Linked DNA regions of Arabidopsis thaliana. The protein of the gene in region 2 interacts with the protein of the main gene of each other region in a pairwise test. Each region holds a gene or a part of one and is shown on either strand. Other genes may lie near its edges.

Region 1 (8,798 bases), on a different chromosome or scaffold from region 2:
ATTCCATTTAGTTACTACTAAACAGATAATTTTATCCTCTCTATATATACCAATGCCAATAATCATAACACCACGAACCATCTTTGCTCAACGACTACAGCACAATCAGCTAGCCTTCTTCTGGTTCGAAAACTTCTATAAACTTTCTGTAACTTTAATGCAGCTTGATATGTTCCATCACCTAATAACAAGGCTAAAAATTCTTTTGCATGTTCGTTTTCGCAAACAGGTTTCCATATCCGCATTTTATATCTATCATCTTCTTTCATAAAAGTTAAAGGTTTAATAGAGAAATTGTTCTCCACATCTCCTGGAGAAATTCTTGATCGTTGTGTCCCTTTACCGCTAAGGGATCTGTTGTATAGCGTCTTTCTAGCTTCAGGTGATTCAGTTATGGTTGAATCCGAGTCAATGTCATTAAAACTGATTGATCGAAGAATGGTCTTTGTCTCTGCACAATCAATACAAATATGCCTCAGATCAAAATGCCTTCAAATAAACGTTCATAGAAGTTGTCACAAATACTAACCCATTTTCACTTGAAACCAGATTCAAGCAGTTCCTTATTATGTCCTGAAAATGTCAAATATCCAAATTCCATCATTGAGACATTACATCGAATCACCAAAAACATAGAAAGGGTGAAGAAGAAGAAGCAGAACCTGGAAGTCAAACAAAACCCATGAGACGAAATGAAACAGAGAAGAGATTCTTTTAATGGAAGAAAACAACAGAGCCAAAAAGGAAATGAGGAGGCTTTGAATGGGTCTAGGATTAGATGGGAACGTGAGAGAGAACGATAATGGCGGCCATTTCTGATTTAAGAGATTCTCATGAAATCTCAATCTCTCAATGATGCAAATCTGTTCCATTGGCTGGGAGAAAAATAGAGTCCTCTGTTCCACGATCGCTCTGTTATTTTTGTTGGCTCCTCCTCAGTTTATCCTAATTTTGGCGTCAATGTTTCGCTTTTAAAACTAGGTCCCTATAAAAATTCAAACTTCCTATGTTAACCCAGAAAATAAAACATTATCAATTTGACCCAAACAAAAATCATAAGAAAATCTTCAATTTTTAATAATTTCCCTAAAGTACCATTAAAAAAAATCACAGAAGCTAATTATGGGATTTCTACTGTTTTCTAATTCATAACAATATATACTGTAAATAGTTTACCAATCAAAGACACTAAAAACAATTCATGTCTTCAATAGAAAACATTCAAAAGTTGGGGACTTTTTATGAAAATTCTGTATAAACGCAAGCAGAACCAAAGCCCTAGCCCTCTCTAATTCGCTGTGTCCGTTAAGTCCTCTCTTTTCCGAAGGATCTGACTTTATCCCGGAATTCTGACGCCGAAGCTTAAATGGAAAAAGAAGATGAGCTCCAGAAGTTAAACGGTCAAGTTTCAGCTCCACGAGACGGAGATGTAGAAGATGACGATCCACTAGTGTTGAGTTCTCAAGCTTTGGCGGCGCTTCGGGAATTTCTAGCAGACCAGAACAAGACTGTTGCGAGCACGCCACCGGCGTCTTCCGTCGCCGGAGGAGAAGAATCCGATAAAGTGGAGCTGGTTACGGAGGATTGGAGACTCAGCCAGTTCTGGTACGAACCTGAAACTGCAGAGACTGTAGCAGATGAAGTGGTCACTCTCTCTCAAAGAATTCCAGGCTGCAGAGTCGCTTGCATTGCTTGCCCTACTCTCTACGTTTATCTCAAGGTACTATTAATCAGTTTTGTTCAGTACCCTTAATTTGTATCGAATCCGTTTTGCTAAAAATCGATACTTTTGTTGTCGTTGATGCTAAATTTCTGTGCGACGGGTTTTGATTTGTGCTGAGTCAGAAAAGAGATCCTAGTCTTCAGGTGCAATTGCTGGAGTACGATATGAGATTCGAGAGATATGGAAAAGAGTTCACTTTCTATGATTACAACGAACCAGAAGATCTGCCGCTTCAGCTGAAACATTGCTTCCATATAATCGTTGCAGATCCTCCCTACTTGGTAAAGTTTCTTCAAGTTCTTAACTTTTCCGATGCTGTTCTTTCATGGGAATTTTGGAAATCTTTTAGCTGCCCCTTGATAGATAGGTTTAGAGACTGATGTGTAATCTGCTCTGAACTTCTGACATTCAAGAAGCTTCTGCTAGATAGGCATTGCTTATAAATTAATCTTCTTTTAAAAGATTATAGAAAGTCCAAAAGCAGACAAGATGAAAGAAAAAAAGTGTAAGCTTTACAATGGAGTATCAGTTGGTTATGGTCATGGCTTAGTGTCACTTCTTAAAGATGGATACTTTGTGGCTCTCTGCTGCGTTTTGATTATCATTTGAAATATTTCCCGGGTAGGAGTATTTGTGACTTGTGAGGATATCATTAATCTGTGATGTTTTTGTGTGCTATATTGCTTGCTATCTTCAAAGCATAAATGTCTTTGAGTACCTTCTAGTTAGCGTGTTAATGATCTTGATTCGTTTATGCTTGGCAGAGTAGGGAATGCCTGGAAAGAGTTAGTCAAACAATTTTGTTCCTCGCAAGCCCAGTAGATTCATTGTTGCTTCTTCTCACAGGTACAATGGGTACTTTTGTTTTCTCAAGTCAAATTTATATGATCTTATGATTTATTAACTAGGAGATATCTCACGTCTTGCAGGAGAGGTGCAAAGAGAACATGCAGCTGAGCTATTGGGTGTTCGCCCTTGTGTGTTTAAGCCTCATCACTCTAGCAAACTCGGAAACGAGTTCCGACTGTTTATAAGTTATGATCCAGGTACCAGATTAGGAGGCTTGGAAGAAGACAGCTAGTTGTGACTTGCTTGTAAGTTGCTTCTCTAAAGTCTTTTGACTGTTCTTGAGTAAACCAGTGATTGTTCTTTTACCCTTCTGATCACAAAAAGCAATGTGCTTAAATCCATCTCACGCGTTCACGTCATCCCCTTTTGCTGTTCATGTAGTTGCTGTTAATTTCTTATGACGATGCGCCTTAACCAATCTCAGGTGTCTGGCATTTCAAGCCCTTATCCTCTAGCAGCGGAGGAACATTTGTGGCAGGGAACACTCATCGGCTCATGTGTGTTGGATATTTTTCATCAATGTTCTCTTGGTGACCTCACTTTGTTCAATCGTTCTCTGTATCTTGTTGCAACCGCAGATCTCAAGTCTGATATACTTTTACATTATTATCAAAATCTCAACATATTTACCAAAATGATTTATTGCATCATGAATCAACATGACATACGGAATTAGCTCATCACAAAAAATTATTCAATCCGTTGCAACTTTATAATTTGCGAGGAAGAGATGAAATATTGATGTTTGCTCTCAGCGAATAAAAAGTTTTTGGTCCGACCCGGTTCTACAAACTTTACCAGAATCAAAGTGCTAAACCGGGCGAAGAAGTTAAGATCTCGAGAAGAGTCTTTTACGGTGGGAGAGAAACGAGAGTTGTTCGTCTTCTTCCATGGTCATTGAAATTCAAACACACGCAAGCATCAGAGAAGAGGACTGATTCGCGACTTCGATTATGAGGCCGAACATTGTTACCGAGGTGAGATCTGTTCAATTTTCTGCTCTGATTGCTTATATTCCTTGATCTTAGTCAGAAATTGTTGAGGTTTTAGCTTGTTTAATTACCGAGAAACTCCTAGTGAGAACGAGCTATGGCTGATAGCAGAAATCAGTACGACCGTCTCTTAATTCGGTAGAGTTAACTAATTAGCAGTTCAATTCGGCATAACTTCAGTTTCATGGCCAATCGTTCGTTGTAGAAAGTAGAAACATTCTCTTCATAAAATAGGTTATAGCAGCCTCTGTTTGTGTTGTTTCATTAGTTCTTCAAGTTTTAGGTATAATAATACAATTTCACCATTCTATTATACAACTGTGACTCTGGATCATACTTTTGTTTGAAGATTTCTGAAATTATTCATAAGGTTGAATATTATTAGAAGGTTTCTATGTCCAACCAAGTAGATAATCGGCACAATGTTTAGATATAAGCCTATAAACTGGTAAAGGTCTTGTTTCTGGTTAGTTATGTATTCTTTATTTTCTCATAGGCTGGGGTTCAAACTCGAGTTGGACAGTGGTGGAATGCCATACCTTTCCTCACGTCATCGGTGGTGGTAGTTTGTGGGGTCATTTACCTGATATGCCTCTTAACTGGATATGACACTTTTTATGAAGTATGCTTCTTACCCTCGGCAATCATATCGAGGTTCCAAGGTATGTTCTCATATTTATTGAGGCTTGCATGTCATGTAGAAGATATTCCTATTGGCACTAAAACTTACATTTCCAAAGTTATTTCGTCTTGCAAACTGGTAATTTTAAATTCAGATGCCTGAGCTGTCCTGATTTTTTTTGTTTCCTCTTGTTCACTCGTTTCTCGTTATCTGTGCAGTTTATAGGTTTTATACAGCCATTATTTTCCATGGATCACTGCTTCATGTTCTGTTCAACATGATGGCATTGGTTCCTATGGGCTCTGAGCTGGAGAGAATCATGGGATCTGTCCGTTTGCTTTACCTAACAGTTTTGCTGGCAACGACCAATGCCGTATTGCATCTTCTTATAGCATCCTTGGCGGGATATAATCCCTTCTACCAATATGATCATCTCATGAATGAATGCGCCATTGGATTTTCTGGAATCTTGTTTTCTATGATTGTCATAGAGACAAGTCTCAGTGGAGTTACCTCTAGAAGGTAAGAATTTTCAAGGGCTACTTAAATGATTTAGACTCTGGAAGATCAAAGTGCAAGTAAATATGAGCTTCTTGTTAGAATTCAGATACATTCTCTCCAAACATGTTAATGCTACACATGTCTGTACACATATTAATAAGATATGCGTTTAATGTCCTCTGAATGTGGGCTATTTTTTGCCAACTCTTTGTATTCATGAAGCATCTCATATTTCTTCATTTGCTACTTTATTTCTCTGTGCAGTGTGTTTGGTCTCTTCAACGTTCCCGCTAAACTGTAAGCTCCATTGTCTTGCTTGTTGGCATCTTAATGCCCACCTGCATTTCTTGTTGCTCATATGATGTAAAAGTTTGTATCCATGTGTAGGTATCCGTGGATCTTACTAATAGTATTCCAGCTTCTCATGACAAATGTTTCACTGCTTGGGCATCTATGCGGCATCCTGTCTGGATTTTCATGTATGATTATTGACCTTTTTCATTGTCATCTTCTTTCTAAACCTGCATTTTCATGGGGAGCTAATTTGTTAGTCGCTTTGGATTTCAGATTCTTATGGCCTCTTCAATTTCTTGATGCCTGGCTCTTCATTTTTTACCACCATTGAGTCAGCCTCCTGGATGGTAAGTACTAAGTACTTAAGAAGATCTGGCTTCTTGATGTTTCCTTTTCTTTGTTAATTGAGAGGCCATCGAGGATTTAAAACTCATGCAGATCTGGCTTCTTGATGTTGCTCTCTGAGTTAATCGTAACTCATCCAGTTTCTATGTCCTCTTCCAGTCTAGCTTCATTAGGCGACCCAAGTTCATTATGTGTACTGGCGGGAATCCTTCCAGCTATATTCCCACTTATTCTGCACAAAACACAACATCCAGGTGTGGTTTCCTAAGAACATATGAAAAACTGGACTGTTTGCCCAGAGAATATCCTAACGACATTTTTTCTTTGACCAGTGGTTTCTCTACAGGAAATGCTTGGAGATCCTTGTCTTCATGGTTGCCACAGAGGGAAGCATCTAATCAGGTACGTTCATGCTAATCTTGTTAGTTTCTTTTCTTTACCATGGTGGATGCATTCACATCTAACCATATTACTTCACATGCAGTCTTCTGAGGACAGTAGATTTCCGGGGAGAGGTAGAACTCTTAGCACTGCCCGAGATCCTACTGCTCCAGCTGGAGAAACAGACCCAAACCTCCATGCTAGACTGCTGGAAGATAGCAGCTCTCCAGACCGCCTTTCTGATGCAACTGTCAACACCGTGGCAGATTCAAGGTATTTGATTTCTTCAGCTTATGATTTATCAGCTTATTACGCCATTCTTCAACCTCACCCTCATGTCTCACCGTGTGTAGACAAGCGCCAATAGCTAATGCAGCAGTCCTGCCCCAATCCCAGGTTACTTTTCTTCTCTAAGATATTCGGCTCAGACCCAGACCCTTGTACAGCTTCTAGAAGCTTTTCTCTTATTGAGCTGTTAAAACACAGGGTCGTGTTGCTGCTTCCGAAGAACAAATCCAGAAACTCGTAGCCATGGGCTTTGACAGGGTACGTTTCTTGCTTCATACCAACGTTAACTAAAACAATAGTAAATAGATGGCTTAAAGTCTCTGGATTTTCTTCAGACACAAGTGGAAGTGGCGCTTGCTGCTGCCGACGATGATCTCACCGTAGCAGTGGAGATCCTAATGAGCCAACAGGTATAAACTTTTCCGAACTAGAGTTCTATTAACTCATTTTTAGAGTTTAGGCACTACTAACAACGAAACCACTGTGATCAAACTTGCAGGCTTAACACCAACAACTCGCAAAGTACTGTTTTGGCTTGTATTGTAACGTTTGTTTCTCATTCTGTCTTTTACTTGCATTTAGAAACTGTATAGCGTCTGTTTTCTTTAAGGAGGTTCTTTAACCAGACGATCAAACCGATTTTCCGGTTTAGAATCTAATACAAACGAAAGATCAGTTGAAATTTTCTTTTTTTGCAAAATCTCTCTACGTAGAACTTTACTTTGCAAAAGTAAACTTGTTTATTGGCGGCACACTTTTTTTTCTTCTCTACGGAGTACAAACGGAATGAAACAGAAGCTATTATAACATGGTTTCCTTCCTCACTTGCTCTTGTGTTCCTTCGTGTTACTAGTTGAGGTTTCTCTAGGCGGTCGCACAATGAGAATTGGACATTTTGCATGTTGGGCACAGTAGTCACTTACACTCCCTAAAAATGCCCTGTATATCTCAAACACCAGGAATGAATGAATAGTCACAACCAGAAATCTCAATTTGTTGTTAGACCTTAGACCAAAAATGAAACTTGTACCTTTTGATCATGCCGAGTCCACGGCTACCAACAACAAGAAGATCAACATGTGTTTGCTCGACGGCTTGGCATATCATCTCCTTAGGATCTCCTTCCAATATCATAGTCTCTGTCTTCACCTACAACATAAAACCATAAACTCAAGAGACAGAGAAGATCACTGATAAACCTAAACTCTTATGAAACCTTGATAAACCTAAACTGAAAGTAAACTTCATAGACCCTAAACTTATTGTATTTTTGAAATTTTTTCCAAACTTGTAGTATGTTGAAAGTTGAAACTAGACATGTCTTGATGGTAATTTTTAGGAAATTATTTCACACATATAGCGCACCATTTTGCCTCGGCATATCTCCAATGCCCGTGTGAATAAGTTTGTCGTACTCTCTTCTCGTGCTTTCCTCATTGGTTCGGGCACTGAATCTGTCGCATACACCGCCGAAGCTAAGAATTTCCAAACTCACTCAATATTGTATACAGTCACATCCCATATAATATATATATACGCATAGAGAATAAAAGAAAGAGAGAAGCGTTTTTTTCTTCACCAGTTCCACCAGAAGGATAGATATATTGAAGGTACGTTGGGTGAACATGAAGCAACGTAAGTAAACCGCCTTCTTGACCGGTTTCCGGTTCGGCACTAATAACAACTCTGAGATGATCCACAGCCCATTCCAACGCATCGAAGCTGTTCTTGCTCTCATCAATCGCAACCATCACTTTCAACTTCTTCTTGTTCTTATTTGCAGCCGTCTCCGCCGTCGTTGTTGTGGCTGCCGTGTCCTCTCCAATCGCATCAACGTAAGTCTCCATTTTTTACTCCGTACGTTTTCTCTATCGTATGTTTTTTTTGTTCGGCTCCAGCCACTTTTTGATATGTATAATAATTTAGATCGTACCATACGTTACGTAATGCTAGTGTGTGATTGAGTAGGTGGAAGATGAAGAGTGTTAACAGATGTTTAAGATGGATACTGGATTGACACGTCACCTGTGTCATAGACACGTGTCTTTCTTTCAACATAGACAACTGTTTATTTTGAATATCCAGAAAAGGCTTTTGGTTTAGAATCGAGTTTGGTTCAATTTTACGGTTTCGTTCTGCTCAGAAAAAGATAAACCCAAAACGAACCGATTTAAATTCGGTTTGAATTAGCTTAAATCAAGTTTTGAGAAGGCAGAGTTGTCAGCCTCTAGAATCTCTATGTCTTTCAATGATCTTGTTTGCTGAGTGTTCTAAGTCATATTTGGTGTTCTGATATCTTATTTTCCACAATGGTTTCAAAAGAACAGGTCCTCTTGTGGTAAGTATATATTGACTAGATGGTCGGTCTATCAAAGTTTCGGATAACAACAAGTTTGGTTCAATTACCGTAACAAACTTATTTTGGAAATAACCTAGTTCGGTTTAGTTTGAATCAATTTTTATTTTGGATCAGGTATGGTTTGGTTTATCTCGGGTCTGTGAAATATGGAAAGCTTATTATTTTTCCTTTCTTATAAGTTTATATAACCAGCACAAACCCTACCACACTGGATTTCAAAGCACGTTACTTGTTTACGAATTAGGGTTTTACTGGCGATAACTTGTGATCATGTCATTAGATTTGAAGATGCAAGATAAATTTACTTGGGTTTTGGAAAAGTTCTCATCTTTGAAAGATCAGTGCTACTCTCCCGTCTTCACGGTCGCCGGCTGCAATTGGTAAAGCGAGAAACGATTACAGAAATCCTTTTCTTTTTTTTTGTGGAATTTGATTCTTAGATGT
Region 2 (7,611 bases):
TTTTGTGCTTTAGAGTAAACATATCTTGATTCTCTATACCAGCAGATAACGATTTTGGTTATCACTAGCATTGATATTCTACGATTTTAGATAGGTAAGTCCTTTTCCGTGATAATGTGTTTGGTGAGATTAGCAGTATTATCTGCTACAATGTTAACTCAGTCATTGGTCTCTCCTCTCTGGTGAAAACATAAAGCTTTATCCTTCACTGGATCTATCAAATTTCTATTTTGAAAAACTTTCACTTCTAGATCATTTTTAGGAAATATCATATAGACTTGCTACAACATACTGATCTAGCTGAAGATGGATAAACGGGTCAGCTGTCTCTTTGTTTTATTCGTCCACCTTGGCTGATATATTTTGTTTTCATTCATGATTCTAAAAGCTTTGGCAATAAGGTGTTGATTTGTGTTATTGATCCTGCAGTTCAAGTGGTCAATGACTCGACATGGGACTCTCTAGTTCTTAAAGCAACTGGGCCTGTAGTTGTCGACTTTTGGGCACCATGGTGTGGACCTTGCAAGATGATTGATCCGCTTGTAAACGATCTAGCACAGCATTACACTGGGAAGATCAAGTTCTACAAATTAAACACTGATGAATCTCCTAATACTCCCGGCCAGTACGGAGTTAGAAGCATCCCAACGATCATGATCTTTGTCGGTGGCGAGAAGAAGGATACAATCATAGGTGCAGTGCCCAAAACCACACTCACATCTAGCCTCGACAAGTTCTTGCCATGAAATATCACTTGTGGAGTCTGTAAGATCTCGTATCTCTCTGTCTCTCGTTCTTGTTCTCATTATCTCTGTAACTCATTATCACTGAACATCTAGACCTGGATAAATAATATGATGTCATGTCTTATGTCATTTTTACTGGTTTGAAGATGTTTTGAGATGCGGAACTAAAGGTATCAAAGAACAATCTTGGACTAGACTAATGGAACCACATTAAAATGATTCCACCAATCTTTTTTTGGTCATGAGAGAGATCTTAAGATTGTTTGGTTCTGCAAGTTTTTTGATGAACACACGCTAAGGTTTGTTACTTATTCTAAAACTCCTCGTATTAAAAGATATTATGCGACACTCTAATGAATGAGCACATGTATGCAAAAGGGGCTAAAGGTTCATACATGTCCTAATCTAAAGAAAGAATATACGTATTCAGCTGAAAAAGGTCTTTATCGACCACGAGCAAAAGAGAATAAATACGTTCGAAATATCTCCTTATTTTTGCATAAGCAAAGAAATTCATCCACCATAGTTTATGTGTACCCAATTTGTGGATAAGGATATGTCAATTAGGACAAAATGAATAATAGCCGAAAGAATTGAGTTATTTTTGGACTGATCCCACAGTTCCCGACAAGCTTTTGAGGTTTTAGAGTTGTTGATCCGGTCTATGACTAAAGTTCGACCAAAACCAAGTTATTTAGTTTGGACAATATAAATCAGAAATATCAAGAAGATAAATTATATGATTAGTTCATAAAGTTTTAGTTTTAGATTGCCAAGAAAATATTCTAATATATTAGGTCTGAACGAAAGTGTTAAATCTGATGAAACCTCTCTATTGGTAATGTCTTTTTTTTTTTTTTTTGGTTGCCGTCCTTGGTTTGAGAATTATATATTTAGGCTGAAGATAAGGTCAAAAGAAAGATGCAATCCGGTTTTATAATAATAGATCAGTTGGACTTTTATAAATGCATTTTCGTGACTTTTGTTTGTATCAAACAACTTTCATTATAATATTATGATTTGGACTTTGTAAATGGTCTTCTCGTGTCCTTTTGATTGTATCAACTTTCGCGACCTAAGAAGTCACGACGACGTACATAAATGGAACATGAGCATAATGATCAAAATTAGAACAAGTGTGAAATATCGAAACAAAGGCAAGTCAATATCGGACAGCTTCGTACGTGAAACCTAACCCCCACTTGAGGTTCTTAATGTTTTAAAATAAACAAGCGGACAATGTTTTAATCATTTGACCTTCATGAGTGTCGGCCATATTCTCCTACCAAACATGCTGCAGCTTGATTAGATAAATGATAAAACAATAAAACGATAGTTATGTTTTATTCATGTTCTACGATCCTGATATAATTGCTATGATAGTCAATTTTGTTAGAATAAAGATGAAAATACTTGAAGCTTTATTATATTCTTAAATCTTAGTAATAATTAATTAATATGAATCTCTTAAAGTCTTTACTTAAAATATCATTGTTCCCCTATGAAACTTGAAAGTTACACGATAAATGCGCTAATTTCAATCTTTAAGAAACAAATAGCGTATAGTAATACATAATTACAAATATATTGATAGACATCCTAAAACAAAATTAGAAACATGAAGTTGATGATGATCTTCTGGTTATCTAGTTTGACTAGAATGGAATGTTTGTAACACAGAATGTGGCAACGTATTATTATTTTTTGTCAACATGTATATTACTGATGAATATTGCATGTTCATAAGGAGAAACCAAAGACACAAATTATTTTTCGAAAATGTGAAAATGGAAATGATCCACGCCCACGCGTCAGGACTCAGGAGCATTAGTCCGACCAAACCCATAAACTAAAAATTGATTTTATCTTTTATTTTTTTGATCTCAAGATTCGGCTTCTAATTAATAATCGTAAATTACAAGATCAATAAAATATGCTAAAAAAAAGAAGTCCCATAAAGCAAAAGAATGCGTGTCTCGTGAGGTTCTTTATGAGATTGATCGTTGTTACTTGTGAAGAAGCTTCGGCAAAAGCGTGAAGAGAGCCATCTTCTTCGATCTCTCATTAGTCCTTTTGTTCTCTATTCACTCCACCCAATCACCGATTGTTTCTTACTTTATTAGTTTAGTTTTACTAGTTTATTACGTTAACATAAATTTATTAGTTTAGATTTACTACTTTATAACGTTAGTTTAGCGTTAAGCCACAATGGACCTTGGCACGGCACTGACATTGACATATATGAGTTGGTTAGATAGAGCTGCGGCGATCGCATTTTGTTAATCTTCACAAAGTTTTGACTTGTTATTATGCTGCATTTATATTTTGGTTACAATTTTGTGTTCTTTCTAAAAATTATATGTGAAAACATGAATGTGGGTGAATACAATGCACCTAAAGAAAGTGGTATGACATTTGTGACACGACCGTTACACATAATAAAGGGTTTTCTTTATTGTTCAACTAAGTTAGTTAAGAAACAATAATAGTTTTTGTGATACAATTAATCTCTATTTATAGAGTTTACCATTACGTATCGTATACTACTCACTCACTCTAAATCCATTAGTAACGTATCTTATCTTAGTTAAATAAGTAAATTTGTTTTTGACAATCTTAAGTATGTAAAAAAAGGATTAATGTAAAAAAAAGTATAGCAAAGAGAGATAATAGCTTTTGTTTAGGATAATGTATAATTAAATAAACATTTTTGTTTGTCAAATATAGGTAAATATTTGGGGTCAAATATGCACCAAAGGATTCGAAATTTAGGATATTTATGGATAGTGTGAATTTGGAAATATGTTTTCCAACATTGTTTGATTGCATTTGAATGTTGTCTAACGTTCTACTGCTAAATCCATGACGGATCTCATATTGGATACTCGATTTTTTTTTTTCTATTATCAAATTAATCGTATATGAGTATAATATTTAATTAAATATTTAATTGGCCTATAAACCTCAGGCGTATCATTTTTTTTTTGTTTTGAACTTTGAAGTACAAGTTAAAAGAGATAAGCTCTCTAAAATAAGTAAATACAAAACTCTGACGAATCTTTCACATCGCCACGTCATGAAGATATCATTGCGTTCTCAACTTCGAGGCTTAATAATAATATCTTATTTTTTTCCGGATAGTATTTCTCTGATAATCAAATGTGTATAAATGAAATCTCTTTCTTCTTTAGAATTACTGTTTCTCTCCGCTACAAATACCAGATTTTTCTCTCTCTCGTCGAAAGCAAAACAGTCTCCTTTCTCTATCTTCTGCTCATATCAGCCATTGACACAGTTGCTTTGGGTTTCCCTCAAACGGCGCCGATTGTCTGGTTCGTCTCCCTAAATCTCTCTTCATAGCTCCTATATACGTGCCTTTGCGTATGTATAGGTGTTTTCTCATCTCTGTGACTATCTATATTCGCCGGCAAAATTTCTCGGTCTGTTGATTTTGATTTTTTTCTCTGTACCATTTAGATTTGAATTGGTGTTGAATTTTCCTTGAGGTGATGAGTTTGTTGTCTCTCTGTTTCTGCTAAAGTCTTTCTCTAATCATTCTCTTTCTTGGGTTTCGATAAATTTCTCGAATTTGTAAGCTAAACTTAATCCGACGATGATCAATGGAAAATTTGGATGATTGGTTATGAGTTTTCGGAAGATTCTAACTTTCAATCCCAAGTTTTTATGGGTCGTTTTTAATTTCATCTGTTTCCAAAATTTCAAATTTTAGGGTTCTTCGATAATATAGGGTTTTAGATTTTCTGGATTTTTTAAAATCTTTTGCATTTTTTCTGATTAACCTAATTCTCATCTGGATAAAAATAGGCTATCTTTGTGTGTTTCACTTGTAAATCTTATAATATATTGCATTCAATCTGGATCTAATGTTGGGGAAATAAACACATTTTTTTTTCAGGATTTTGACCACTGATGGCCTTAGATCAATCTTTTGAAGATGCTGCTTTACTTGGAGAACTCTATGGAGAAGGTGCATTTTGTTTCAAGAGCAAGAAACCTGAACCCATTACAGTCTCGGTTCCTTCTGATGATACTGATGATTCGAATTTTGACTGCAATATTTGCTTAGACTCGGTGCAAGAACCTGTTGTGACTCTCTGTGGTCACCTCTTTTGCTGGCCTTGTATTCACAAATGGCTTGATGTACAGAGCTTCTCAACAAGTGATGAATACCAAAGACATAGACAGTGTCCTGTTTGTAAATCTAAAGTTTCTCATTCTACTTTGGTTCCTTTGTATGGTAGAGGCCGTTGTACTACTCAGGAGGAAGGTAAAAACAGTGTGCCTAAAAGACCCGTAGGACCGGTTTATCGGCTTGAAATGCCGAATTCACCTTATGCAAGTACTGATCTGCGGTTATCACAACGGGTTCATTTCAATAGCCCACAGGAAGGTTACTACCCTGTCTCAGGGGTGATGAGCTCGAACAGTTTATCATACTCTGCTGTTTTGGATCCGGTGATGGTGATGGTTGGAGAAATGGTAGCTACGAGGTTGTTTGGAACACGAGTGATGGATAGATTTGCGTATCCGGACACTTACAATCTCGCAGGGACTAGCGGGCCGAGGATGAGAAGGCGGATAATGCAGGCAGATAAATCGCTGGGAAGAATCTTCTTCTTCTTTATGTGTTGTGTTGTTCTGTGTCTTCTCTTGTTTTAGGTTTTCATAGCTAGCTTGGTTCTGCTACTGTTCAGTTTCTTCAGGTGTAAGGAAAACATAGTCAAAGAAATGTACATTTGTGTTGGAAACAAATCAAAGTTGCTTAATGTTGAGGAATGAGGAGTTTATGTTGGGTTAAATCTTGTGTAGATTTGGTCTGGAGGATAGTGTTGTCTACATGAAAGGCCAAACTAATAGGCCTGATCTGCATGTGTTTGTATAGTTCAGCCCATGTGTAGAAAGATAAGAACTAGGCTTTCCAGACACATGGTACTGAATCACTGATAGTGATCCATTCCATAATCTTCCAGCACTATTGTATTATTGTTTTTCTATTTGTTTCATTAAAGATTGTATGTCGATAAAAGGGCCTGCATTAAGAGAGTCTCTCTTTAGTCAAGCTTCAGCAACTCTTCTTGTCTGTCTGATATCCTTCTCCACTCGGTCAGCCTCTCTTCCTTGTTTAGTCAAGTTTCAGTCAGAAGTCGAGCTGTCTTTTCTTTTTTGAACTATTTGTGTAATGATTTATAACTTTAGATGGAGCTTATCTAGATAGAATTGAGGCACAAAGGGCAACAAACGTGCATGTCTCGTGACCAACTGAGACGAAGATCCTTCCCTATGAATCTGATAAACAACAGCTTATGCTCACTCAATTCACAAGATTCCCTTCAAGCTGGAGGAGACTCTGTGGCAGAGTTCTTTATCAATCTCAGGTTTACCGATATTTTTGACCTTCCTGGTGAATATTTTCAAATGATTCCAGAGATGTTTAGCGCACTGAGTGATGGGGACAAAGAATGGCTTGGGAAATTGAGAAGCCATGGAACACTGCTGCCTGCTGGCATGTTTCAAGAACGATCGAGGAGATTATATTCTTCGTCTTGCTGCTACATGGGGTCTGGAACGAGTGAAGAGCATTGTCTCACTCTTTCCATGTCTTCTATTGGAGCCAAACTCAAAGGCTCAGCTTACAATCCATGTGGAGGCTCGTGCGGGTCAGTCAACTATTGTTGAGGCTCTTGCTAGGATAATAACATTTGAATCAGCTACACTATCTGATGGAGAAGAGAGGGGGAGGTTGAATCTATATATTCTCAAAGACATAGGTTGAAAACCATGAAGCTTACAAGACCATCGGTGCCATTAGACCATGGAGGAATACTCTTTTCCTTCAATAGCAAAGAAATATTAAATTAGCCGCTATGGTTTGGACTTTGAAGCGTCTGTAACCTTAAGTCCTGAACTATGGGTATTTATCGATTAACACGTTAACATCCAGAATAAAATATACATGGTTACAATTTTATTAGAAAAACAGAAAGCTATAACTTCATTCATCTGATGCAGTGTACACATCAACAATATTTTTGTTGTCACCAGCAGCCAAAAGCTTAAGGAAATAGGGATAGTAGAAAATGTGTCGAAGAAGGGGTTGGGCATGAGCATATGGAGACACATAAGGAACAAGGAGCAGCAACAAAACCAATAGGAAGATGATTCCAATACCCAAAACGAAATAACCAAGCAAGGGGAGATGGCTTACCGCAACATACGTGCCAGCCATAAATGCTATTGACATTGATGTAAGAGCAAGTCCGAGAAATGGAAGTGCTATGTTGAAGGCTTTGAGTATGATAGAAAGATCACCGAGTTGTGCCCAAATGAGAGCAACTATTGTTATGATAGAAGAGTACATTGCCAATGTGTCGCATACAAGAAAGACTTGAAAAGCCGTTCTCTTGGCCAAAACGGCCATTCCCAAGTGGGGAAAAGAGTCGTTGTACCCACCAGGTAATGTGAATCCTGCAGTGAAAGTCATAGTGGCTACTAGAGTTGCAACCAACATAAGAGTATTGACTCGATCTTTGTACTTTCCACCATCTGGCTTCTTGAATGATCTAAGATTTTCTGTAATTGGAGTAGAACTTTTTGGTGCACCAGCATTGATCAAAGCCATCCAAGTCAATCTCTGTATATACACACATAAGGATTATTATGGAAAAGTTTATACAAAGTAATATTAGGAGCAAAAACGACTTTTAGCATGTGCAACTAGAATTTTCAAATTGATTAATGGTTTTACTATAACCTTCAAATAAGTTGAGACAGCCCTCATAGGGAGAGACATCTTGTCACATTACCTGGTGAACTATGTAGCTCGAATCAATGTTCTCCTCAGCAA

The links. Proteins that work in one complex are often made in the same cells at the same time.
Region 1: the proteins of RMA1 (region 2) and RBL15 interact in a two-hybrid assay, tested with the Arabidopsis thaliana proteins (one large-scale study listed by BioGRID).

Annotation. Positions count from the first base shown.
Region 1 is NC_003074.8:21,621,076-21,629,873, reverse strand, and holds RBL15 (RHOMBOID-like protein 15), read left to right. Parts: upstream 1-3,172; 5' UTR 3,173-3,231; coding exon 3,232-3,273; exon of another isoform or gene 3,274-3,401; coding exon 3,402-3,452; exon of another isoform or gene 3,453-3,525; coding exon of another isoform or gene 3,526-3,549; intron 3,550-4,060; coding exon 4,061-4,226; intron 4,227-4,404; coding exon 4,405-4,708; intron 4,709-4,951; coding exon 4,952-4,984; intron 4,985-5,074; coding exon 5,075-5,166; intron 5,167-5,254; coding exon 5,255-5,328; intron 5,329-5,485; coding exon 5,486-5,580; intron 5,581-5,658; coding exon 5,659-5,728; intron 5,729-5,810; coding exon 5,811-5,980; intron 5,981-6,060; coding exon 6,061-6,103; intron 6,104-6,193; coding exon 6,194-6,253; intron 6,254-6,330; coding exon 6,331-6,405; intron 6,406-6,494; coding exon 6,495-6,500; 3' UTR 6,501-6,672; downstream 6,673-8,798. Other genes in the region: AT3G58480 (calmodulin-binding family protein), read right to left, coding at 79-451, 530-533; AT3G58470 (nucleic acid binding / methyltransferase), read left to right, coding at 1,367-1,720, 1,846-2,004, 2,488-2,569, 2,653-2,804; AT3G58450 (Adenine nucleotide alpha hydrolases-like superfamily protein), read right to left, coding at 6,817-6,934, 7,026-7,144, 7,361-7,470, 7,575-7,842; AT3G58440 (TRAF-like superfamily protein), read left to right, coding at 8,625-8,734. UniProt on the Arabidopsis thaliana protein: Probable rhomboid-type serine protease that catalyzes intramembrane proteolysis. May function in senescence.
Region 2 is NC_003075.7:1,555,720-1,563,330, reverse strand, and holds RMA1 (RING membrane-anchor 1), read left to right. Parts: upstream 1-3,902; 5' UTR 3,903-4,078; exon of another isoform or gene 4,079-4,662; 5' UTR 4,663-4,676; coding exon 4,677-5,426; 3' UTR 5,427-5,870; exon of another isoform or gene 5,871-5,963; 3' UTR 5,964-6,011; downstream 6,012-7,611. Other genes in the region: ATHM2 (Thioredoxin superfamily protein), read left to right, coding at 430-746; AT4G03505 (uncharacterized protein), read left to right, coding at 6,012-6,443; AT4G03500 (Ankyrin repeat family protein), read right to left, coding at 6,760-7,398, 7,571-7,611. UniProt on the Arabidopsis thaliana protein: E3 ubiquitin-protein ligase that promotes the ubiquitination and proteasomal degradation of aquaporin PIP2-1. Forms a ubiquitin ligase complex in cooperation with the E2 enzymes UCB8/UCB10.